Danio rerio: one gene and its partners. The protein of the gene in region 1 purifies or fractionates together with the protein of each later gene. This does not show direct contact. Links are inferred from orthologs where the notes say so. Each region holds a gene or a part of one and is shown in the gene's direction. Other genes may lie near its edges.

The links.
Region 2: the proteins of pxna (region 1) and ilk purify together in Homo sapiens (affinity purification with mass spectrometry; 4 studies listed by BioGRID and IntAct, with this or other methods). This does not show direct contact. The link is inferred for Danio rerio from reciprocal best matches to the Homo sapiens genes PXN and ILK.
Region 3: the proteins of pxna (region 1) and git1 purify together in Homo sapiens (affinity purification with western blotting; 8 studies listed by BioGRID and IntAct, with this or other methods). This does not show direct contact. The link is inferred for Danio rerio from reciprocal best matches to the Homo sapiens genes PXN and GIT1.

Annotation. Positions count from the first base shown.
Region 1 is NC_133180.1:7,407,377-7,410,374, forward strand, and holds part of pxna (paxillin a), read left to right. Parts: intron 1-1,214; coding exon 1,215-1,296; intron 1,297-1,419; coding exon 1,420-1,568; intron 1,569-2,998. UniProt on the Homo sapiens protein: Cytoskeletal protein involved in actin-membrane attachment at sites of cell adhesion to the extracellular matrix (focal adhesion). Recruits other proteins such as TRIM15 to focal adhesion.
Region 2 is NC_133185.1:29,715,366-29,719,028, reverse strand, and holds part of ilk (integrin-linked protein kinase), read left to right. Parts: intron 1-860; coding exon 861-957; intron 958-1,115; coding exon 1,116-1,199; intron 1,200-2,546; coding exon 2,547-2,632; intron 2,633-2,751; coding exon 2,752-2,861; intron 2,862-3,663. UniProt on the Homo sapiens protein: Scaffold protein which mediates protein-protein interactions during a range of cellular events including focal adhesion assembly, cell adhesion and cell migration.
Region 3 is NC_133190.1:30,952,846-30,956,508, reverse strand, and holds part of git1 (ARF GTPase-activating protein GIT1), read left to right. Parts: exon of another isoform or gene 1-61; intron 62-2,985; coding exon 2,986-3,138; exon of another isoform or gene 3,139-3,663. UniProt on the Homo sapiens protein: GTPase-activating protein for ADP ribosylation factor family members, including ARF1.

The DNA of each region.
Region 1 (2,998 bases):
TATGGAGATGCACTCCCACTGCAGAGTCATCCCAATTGATTTAACATTAGAAATTCTTTCCAAACAGAGATATTAAATCATCAGGTGACATTGAGATTCACATCGCAATATATATATCGCAAAATAAATATATTGCAATGTTCGATTTTTCCAATATCGGGCAGCCCTGTTTGGCACCACTTATAGGTGATTTTAAAAGTGATTAAATATTCATTTTTTAGGTTAACCATCACTTTAACTGATAAAACCTTACTGTAAATACAGTAGTGATGGTGAAATGAAGCTTTCTGAACAGTGAACCGTTCAACTCAATTGTATTGGAAAAAGATTCATTACTCAAAGCTTTCCAAATCAGAGTTTAATGAGGACCTCTGCTGGTTAAAGTGTGGCAAAGCACTGTGTTGCAATGTTCACACCAAGCACCTCATTCATCATGCAGTAATACAACAATAGTAATATAAACAATTCACCCAATTACTGTAGTATTTTACATATAAGGTATGTTGAATTACACCACCGATGACTGTAGTAAAATCCAAAGGATTCAAAATCATTGTATTTCAACCGGTTTTACACCAACCCACTCATTCCGAGCAGGGATCGAACTGACGATTACTGCATGGGAGGCAAATGCTCTGAGGACGCCATGAGAGTGAGGCTTTTCTGCTGCACTCACCAGCTGGCGTCTGTTACACACTACACTACAATATGCAGTAGCCTTCATTGAAAATAGTTGTAAATAATGCACGTTAGCATGTTTCAAAACCTTTTTACTATAAATTACTATAGTATTTTTGCTGAAATACTGGTGTGTGGGACCAGTGCAGTGCTTTGTAACAGTAGAAATGTATGTAATCGATGCCTAATCTCTCGCTATACACTTTACTAGCCCATGAGGGTGTTTAAGCCTTTGAGTCAAAATTCGTAGCAGTCACATGTGTATAGGTGAAAATGAAGCTTCGGACGTCACTGATCACATGATTATGACAAAATGAATCAAGCTCCGGTACACTGCTTCACTGCGAGATGCATCATTTTTTGATGCATCAGCACACATCACTACTGTAAACGATCACTCAATTACTACTAACTCCAATAATTACTACGATCTTGTTTTTATCTTAAATTTGTGTTCTGTTATTGATATTAAATTGTGTGTTTTGTTCATGTTACTCGTATTTTAATTCTTCATCCTCTCTTCTTTGGTCCTGCAGAAAGTGGTGACCGCATTAGACAAAACTTGGCACCCGGAGCATTTCTTCTGCGCCCAGTGCGGGTCATTCTTCGGGCCTGAGGGTAAGAGCATCTTTCTCAGCCTCTTCTCTCCAGATGCTGTTTCCTTTTTTTCTGCTTTATTCCTTTAAAAGGATTTCAGCCATTGGCAACCATTTGTCTCTTTGTTCTTCTTTTTCCCGGCAGGTTTTCATGAGAAGGAGGGAAAGGCGTACTGTAGAAAGGATTACTTTGACATGTTCGCCCCTAAATGTGGCGGCTGTGCTCGTGCCATCCTGGAAAACTACATCTCTGCCCTCAACTCTCTCTGGCATCCTGAGTGTTTTGTCTGCAGGGTGAGTATGTGGGAATTTCCCATGGGCAGATGCAACAATGATTCACTCACCGGCCACTTTATTAGGTACGCCTGCCTAACTGCTTGTTAGCGCAAATTTGTAATCAGCCAATCACATGGCAGCGACTCAATGCATTTAGGCAGGTAGACCTTGTTGAATCCTATGCCACGAAGGATTAAGGCAGTTCTAAAGGCAAAAAAGGGTCCAACCCAGTACTAGTAAGTGTACCTAATAAAGTGGCCAGTGAGTGTACGCATTAGGGATGCGCGGTTGGCGGTTATAGCCGCGGACTCCGCGGATAAACCGCGGATCGGGCGGATGACGTTACGAAAAAATAATATTTTAATTAAATTCGGGCGGGTGGCGGGCGGTTGTACTGTTTTTATATTCATAGCTGGCGCACCAACGAAAAAGCCTACTGACTTCACAGAATGGGAGGAGGAATCGGATACACTAATTCTGGATGAAGTGTACAGAAGTATTCCTCTACAAACTTCTGTATAGACGGATCAGCAGAGGAAAATCTACTTTCCTTTTGGGAGAAATAAGGCCAGGCATTCCCCCGACTACAGCACCTTTCCAAGAGAATTCTATGCATTTTAGCAACAAGTGCTGCGAGCGAGCGCTCCTTCAGTGCAGCAGGGCGCAGTGGCTATGCAGGCGCTCCCGTCTGAATCCTGACACAGATGCTATTTTATTCCTGCATTGTGCCAAGAAAAAATCAAACTAGACCTAAAGTCAGGCATATTAAACCAATTAGCCTATGTTATTTAGGCTACACATATGTTCAATATAAACTTTTGAGTTCGGTCAGCTGATAATTTTACGTTCATATTGGTTTAGCCTATTCTATTCTAGACATGTTGGCCTCGCTTTGACGTTCCGAGGCTAAGGTTATTTTGCCAGAATTTCTTTGTCGCAAATTTAATGGCGTAGTAGCCTATTTCGTTATGCTTCAAGTTTGAGGGGAATGGGGATGATCCTAAGTCCATGGTTATTGAAGCACTTGTCATACATGCACTTTAGCCTGGTCAGGTTCGCTCAAAGAGGGATGGCATATCTATTTTTCTAATTTAATTTCTAATTGTGGGGGTGACTGAGCCTACAAGGCTTAGGCACGATATGATGTTTTTATTAAAAAATTTTCAACTGTTTGCCAAAGCATGCGACTATAGCCTATGCCTACACTAAGATATTTATGTTGATATTTTTTTTACTGCCTGTTGTTTCTTTTGGCATATAAAATAGGTATTGTCTGATAGAGATATCAATAAAGGTTCATCTGTGTCGCAGAACTGTGTTGTTTCCGATTTCAGATCAATAACATCCACAGCAAAAAATAAAAAGTAGTCGAAAAACTGTGCCCATTTAATTAGATGTGCAAGGCAAGCAGGTACGTTTTTGGGGTTGCTATGGACAACTACAAATGT
Region 2 (3,663 bases), on another chromosome or scaffold:
AATGCAGATTTTTAATACCCCAATAATATGTGCTTAGCAACTTCATGTCATTAAAAAAATCAATTATGCAAGGTTCTTATAATTATGATTTATTAATTCGTTTTTTATTTCAATTATTACTGTTTAGTTTTAGTTTGTTTCATTAATGTTTGTTTTTTGGTTCGTTTTAGTTTAGTTTGTATCTTTAAACACACTTTTTATTTAGTTTTTATATATTTAGTTTCAGTTTTAGTTTTAATCATTTTAGTTTAACAGAGTTTAAAAAAAAATTACCTCTTGGTATTAAATGAAAGATTTGTTTGAAAAGACACCGAACCGTAAACCTTAAATGCAGATAAAACGATAAATCTTGATTTTAGAGATAATATATGTAGTTAAACATGCCTAGTTTACATTTGTCAAGGATTAAAAATACATGGAAGATTTTTATAATTAAGAAGGTATATATAATCATGTGCTTGACTGATGCGTTCAACTATAAAAGCCCCATCTTGAGGTACTTCTATATATTACAGCAGCTCAGATTTTCTGCCACAGAATGACTGCTTATTAATTCTAAAGGACATAAATATTTTTGCTGAGTTTTTTTTTTTTCACTTGTTTTTTTATGTGAATTTTTTGTTTTTCCATTGTTAATTACTTTCAGTTAACAAAAAATATTTTTAGATATTATTATTTATTAGACTAAAATAACCTTGTAATAATGACTGTTTTGTAAAACAACATTTTCAGCTCCATTTCATTTTCAGAAGTCAAATCTTGACATATAGTTCATAAAGGTTAACATTAGCAGAATCATCAAAGAAATGCTTGAACATTGGTACTCATTGGTTGGTTGTACTGTTTGGTCACGTCTCCAGGATCTGGTCAGTAATGGAGCTCAGGTGAGCATCTGCAACAAGTATGGAGAAACTCCAATGGACAAGGCCAAACCACCGCTTGCAGCAAATCTAAAAGGTAAGCACTCTCTCTTTATTTAATAATGCAGTAATTTGACATCAGCGGTGCTTTTGTATGATGTTTTTATTTTAACCTTGTGAAGTCTCAGAGATCTGTTTCTGTTAACATATTTTCCATTGTCTCTTATATCTATCACTGTTATGTTTATGAATCAGACCTGGCAGAGAAACAAGGACAGAGCCTGTCAAAAGTCCCTTACAAGGACAATTTCTGGAAAGGAACAACTCGAACACGACCACGTAAGCAAAACCTCTGAGTTTCGTTTACATTTTTAATGCAGATGCAAGCAGTTTATTATCATCTACTGTATCATTCTGCTTTCAAAGGTAAGGATTCATTAGTCTAAACTTACATTGAGCAAACAAATATCATAACATCTAAGTTGATAACTCACAGTTTATATATATATATATATATATATATATATATATATATATATATATATATATATATATATATATGTGCGTGCGTGCGTGCGTGCGTGTGTTTGTGTGTGTGTGTGTGTGTGTGTGTGTGTATATATACACACACACACACACACACACATATTTTTTTTTGTGAAACAAAATTATTTTCAAATTTGTAACATCCCATTCAAGTTCAAAAATGATGGCAGTGTTTTAAAAGTGACCACAATATTTAATTTGTCAGGGCTAAATTACACTACTAATGCTTTATTTTATTAAATATTACTCTATTCGTATTAATAAAAAATAATAAAATGAAAAAAAATTAACCTTGTTGTAAAGACTTTTTTTATAAAACAACAAATGCAAATAATAATACTTATAAAAATGTATAGATATATGTATGGATGTCAATTTCCAATAATAATTTTTAAAAAATTATTTATATTTTATATATATACACATGTACACAATATATTACACAATAATTATAAAAACTTATTATTTAATTAAAAATAATTTTATATTGAACTTAATGCTAAATGAAATATTATTGTGTATTCGTAAATATCTACAGTTTGTTTACTGTAGTGTAAGTGTTTTTGAATTATTATTATTTTATTTATTTATTTTCTTGCACTAGTTTTGTTGAATGGCCACATATACAGTTAAAGACAAAAATAAATGCTTGCCCTCCTGTTAAATAAATTATCTTTCCCAATTGATGTTTAACAAGCAGGGTCTAAGATATATTTTTACAGTTTTAATGGCTATTTTCTAGTAACTTTGCTGACTGTACATAATATTTTACTTGTATTTACTGTATATATACTAGTGTTTCGCCAGATACTTAACTGTGTTAAATAGGTTAAGGCAAGTTAGTTTAATTAGGCAAGTTATTGTAAAACAGCACTTTATTCTGTAGCCTATCAAAAAATACTAATTATTTTGGGGCTTACAATATTTACCATAAAGTTTTTTATATTTGTGAATATTATTTTTTGAATTTCAGCCAAAAATGAAAAAAATAAAAGACTTTTTTCCCAAAAGAAAAAAACTAAAATGAAAAATAATGAAAAATTCACAGAATTAATAATTTAGTCTTCAGTTGTATATTGCCTTATCTTATTAACTAAGGTTTGTTGCTATGTTTTTTTAACATTATTTTTTTTCCTGCAGGTAATGGCACACTAAACAAGCAAGCTGGCATAGATTATAAGCAGCTTAACATGCTGAACAAGATCAACGAGAACCACTCCGGCGAGGTGAGCTCATTTACCAAACCAAAGCAAACTTTAATAAGTATCCTGGCCAAGTCTGAGAGTGCTGATGACGGAAACACTGATGCCTCTGCTTTCTCTCTTTCTCAATCGCTCTCTGGCAGCTGTGGAAGGGCCGCTGGCAGGGCACAGAGATTGTGGTCAAGATGCTGCATGTGCGGGAATGGACCACCAGAAAGAGCCGAGACTTTAATGAGGAGTACCCTAAACTAAGGTGAAGAACCAATAGTCCTGTGTGGTCACATTACACAAATTAAAAAGACAGTTTCCCTCAAAATGTGTAAAATAATGAATGACATACAGAACCACAGTTATTATATTATAATATTATTTTTATTATATTTAAATCAATATTTATATGAATAATATAAATCATTTTTAAATGATAATATTGTTTTAATTAATTTGTTATAAAGATAATAATAGTAATAAAGTATATTATAATATCTTTAAAAAATGTTAAAAAGGGCACATTTATCACATTTGGCTGCTAGTTATTGCGATAATGACAAATCATTGTCTGTTTTTGGGCTTTGCAGTTGTTTTAATGTACTTTTTTTTCTTCTCTAACTGTAATACATGAATATTTAGATTTGGAAAAAAATGAAGAGATCATTTGAAAATTCTCAGTTTTTATTAGTTATTTAAGTAAAAGTTAATATTTGTTTTATTGATAAAGATCTGATAATATTTATTCCAAATTTCACATATAAATATAGTAACTTTGTAATGTGTATTTTTGTAATAATAGTATTATTAATTATTACATGATATCAATAATAATGTTCACAGTTGTTTTTTTCTTCTGGTTAAATTTCTTTAAAATAATTTGTGAAATTTCTTTTAAAATAATTTTATTCATTTATAAGTCAAAAACCTTCATATTGTATATTCCTACTTTCAAACTTTTTACTTATAAATAAATAAATAAGAACAGTTTATATATATATATATATATATATATATATATATATATATATATATATATATATATAAATGAATGCGCTAAAAACAAA
Region 3 (3,663 bases), on another chromosome or scaffold:
TCAAAATAAAAGTTGTGTGTGTGGGTGAGTGTGTGTTTTGTTCAAATCTGTAGTCATCTTGGCAGGTAAAAAGAGAAAATTAAGTCGGCTTCCTCTTGAACGATTTGAATCATTTTGAAGTGTTTGTAGATGAGCTGAATCATCATGTCATCTTTAGCATAAATAACATCCTATTCAAGCTATGCAGCTTCTCTGAGTTCCTCATCGACTTGAAACATGCTGATCTCTCCTGTCACTCCATCCTTACAGGAAACTGAGAAATAACCTATAGTTAGTAACGTTCATAATTAAAAAAGTGATATAAAGGACACACTGTACACAAACATGTAAATAGATAGATGGATAGATAGACATGATGCAGGTTATAATAACCAAAACCGGTATGATCTGTAAGAAACTGAAACGCCTAGTGTTATTTTTAATTGCTATTAATGTGTGTGTGTGTGTAAATATACTTCAATTTATTAAAGTTTATGCTAGTTAATACTACAGTGTGCTGTTGCATTCATTAACAAAGTTGTAGATACTGCAATATATACAGTATAATACAGTTTACTATAGTTAGTATGGTTCAAAAACGTACTATTATTTGCTATAAATACTATTACAACTTCTTATTTCATGTGGGTTGAATCGTATCTTTAGAACCATATAACATGATTGAAAGCAGCTCCTAGATAACTCATAACTGTTTCTTATTTAAAAAACACACAAGAGAAGCACCCAGCACAGTCCTTAGCTTAGCTAACAGTATTGAACATATAGATAATTATTAAAAATCATAACTTACCCTCTGATTGCTCGAGGCCTCCAACAACGTAGCTGCCCTGTGTGCTGACAAACAGAAACGCCCCATCTCATTGGCTGGCTGTAGCCAATAAACTGGCTTTGCTGCTCTTTTACTGGTATGTACATTACAGTAGAATTAATGATATTTAACAAAAATCTTTTCAGAAAATAGTTGAAATAAACCCTAAATAATAAAATAATCGTGGGAAATGATTATTTTGCACCTCAGTCCTGTTGGCTGCTGGCATTGTTCATTGGTCAGGCTTCAGCCAATGAAACAGCTTTACACCAGCCCCGCCCCTCCCCCGCTCCGCGCTGCTCACGCCTCTGCATCTGCGAGTGCACAGATGAGTTCTGCTACAGAGATCGCGGGAGATGTGTAGCAAAAGTCAGAGCGCGGGAGATTTGTAGTTGTACTGACGAATCTGAGAGGTTGTGAGTGCCGACCTGTGGTTGTAGAGCAAAGATGCAGTCAAATTTGCCGTGCACACGTGTGTCTGTCACTTTGTATTTGTGAATGACATTTTACAAATACACAACTATTAATCTGCAACTTCCGATTCAAAACACAAGTGTGTGGATTGTTGTGTGTGTGTGCAAATCGAGGATTTCAGCTGTTCACATCAGAGCTGTAAGTGTACATTTCAACCTACACATACAAATATTCTTATCACAAGTGCTCACATTTACATTTGCAAGCTCTCGAGTATTGCTACTGAATTACCTTTATAACTGTGGAGGCCATTTGAGTACAGTGAACTCATTGTCAAGAAACCAGTCTGAGATGATTCACGCTTTGTGAAGTGTAATTTTCAGCAGACATTATGGCATTCTGGCTGGTCTTCAGGATTTTTTTTTTAGAAATTAAAGTAAAATGAGAGAATCATTTACTTAAAAAAATAGTTGTATGCAGGCCTTGGCATTAACTTTTTTGATCACCAGCCACTGTGGCTAGTAGTTTTCCAACATTATTAGCCACTTTACTTAGCATACTTTTGTTGTTTGGAAAATATATTTTATATGAATAAATGTGACTTTGACATGCTAAAATGACTTAATTTAGATGTTGTGTTGTCCACATGCCTCCTCATTCATTTTACTGTTTGAGTGTATTGTGTATGAGCTTGCTCACTGTGCATGAGCAAATGGGTTGTGTTGCATTGTAATTAGTTTTTGTTTCACATGAATTTTTTAGGGCTCAAAATTAAGGATTTACCAAAATGATCTCTGACCACACTGAAAAGAAATAATTATTTCTTAGCCACACATTTTAAATGCGTCAAAACAAGCAAAATACAGCTGGATACATGTACTTTTTATTCAACAAAACTTTCGTTTTTTTTTAAACTTGACATTTAAAAAGATCTATTGTCATGTATCTAAAATATGCACAATAATCTGTCCTGGCTAAAGGTCCCAGATCAGCAGTTTACTGCACATAAATGGGGAGTTAATCTCATATTAAAGCAATGTTATTGTAAAGGATGATAATTAAACTAACAAAAATAACTGCAAGTAAAAAAAAGCAGTTAAAAACATACCGTGTGTGATAATGAAAGGATGATCACGTGCCTAAAAATAATTAAAACGAAAGCAGTGACTGCTACTGCTGCTTTCAAAAAGATATAGAACCGATCGCACAAGTTGCGTTTGCTCTACACACGGTTGTTATGCGCAAGTAAACAGGAGCGCTCATGCTTTTTGACAGTCGCACGCATCACATCACCTGTGCACGCGAGTGATCATCCTCTCATAAGGTATTCACCTGCTTTTGCTCACGCTAACACAGTTATTTTTGTCAGTCGTGCTGTTTCTCGATTCTAAGACCACATTTGCTTGCATATTGGGCCATCCTTATTGTCGAATCCTGCTTTAAGAAAACTACAATGTAAAAATTATTTCCAACCAGCCAAAGTGGCTAGTGGAAGCGGCTGTCTCACCCACCAGAGCTGAAATCTACCCGCATTTGGCTGGTTGGCGGTTGTTAATGTAAAGCTCTAGTTGTATTTAATATTGTAAGTGTTTTGCATCCTTTACTAAATAAAAATCCTTTTTTTTTCTTAAATTAAATTCAATAATTGCACGTATCTTCTAAAACTATATAAATAGCTTTTTATTAGTGTTCCCTCTGCTGGCGTTTATTGTGCTATGGCATTATATTGAGAAGTAATTGGTGATTTATGTTGTGTGTCTCAGAGTATGGACTCGTCAGATCTGTCAGATGGACCAATCACACTACAGGAGTATCTGGAGGTGAAGAAAGCACTGGCTTCCTCTGAGGCTAAAGTTCAGCAGCTCATGAAGGTCAACAACAACCTGAGTGAGGAGCTGCGGAGGCTGCAGAAAGAGGTACACACACACACACTATATACCTACATTTCGAAAATACAAGAATTTCAACAGATAGTTATGAAATGCTGCCATTAATACAACTTCACATCATATATATATATGCAAATTAATCCAAACCATTAAAAGTGCAGAATTAACACTGCCGTTCAGAAGTTGGTGATCAGTAGGATATTTTTAAAGATTTTGTTATGACATGAAATTTATTTTCAGCAAAGTTCCATTTATGTAAACAAAAGTGCAATATTATTGTGCAAAAATGACTTGCATTTAAAGTAACTATTACATTTATTCAATTTTTCGAAAAGTGTTCAAAGGTTTCAGTAGTCATTACTCTAGTATTTAGTAGTGGTCTAGTATTTCTCTAGTAATCATTGTAGTCATCAGTATTGGTAACAGTACATTTTTTAAATATTCTATCTAGAATTCCTTTAAAAGTTCAAACGAATTTATTTGAAATCACCCTGAAAACCTTGAGATACTTGGCATAAAATCCAACAGCAAACAGTTTTTTTGTTATTTTAA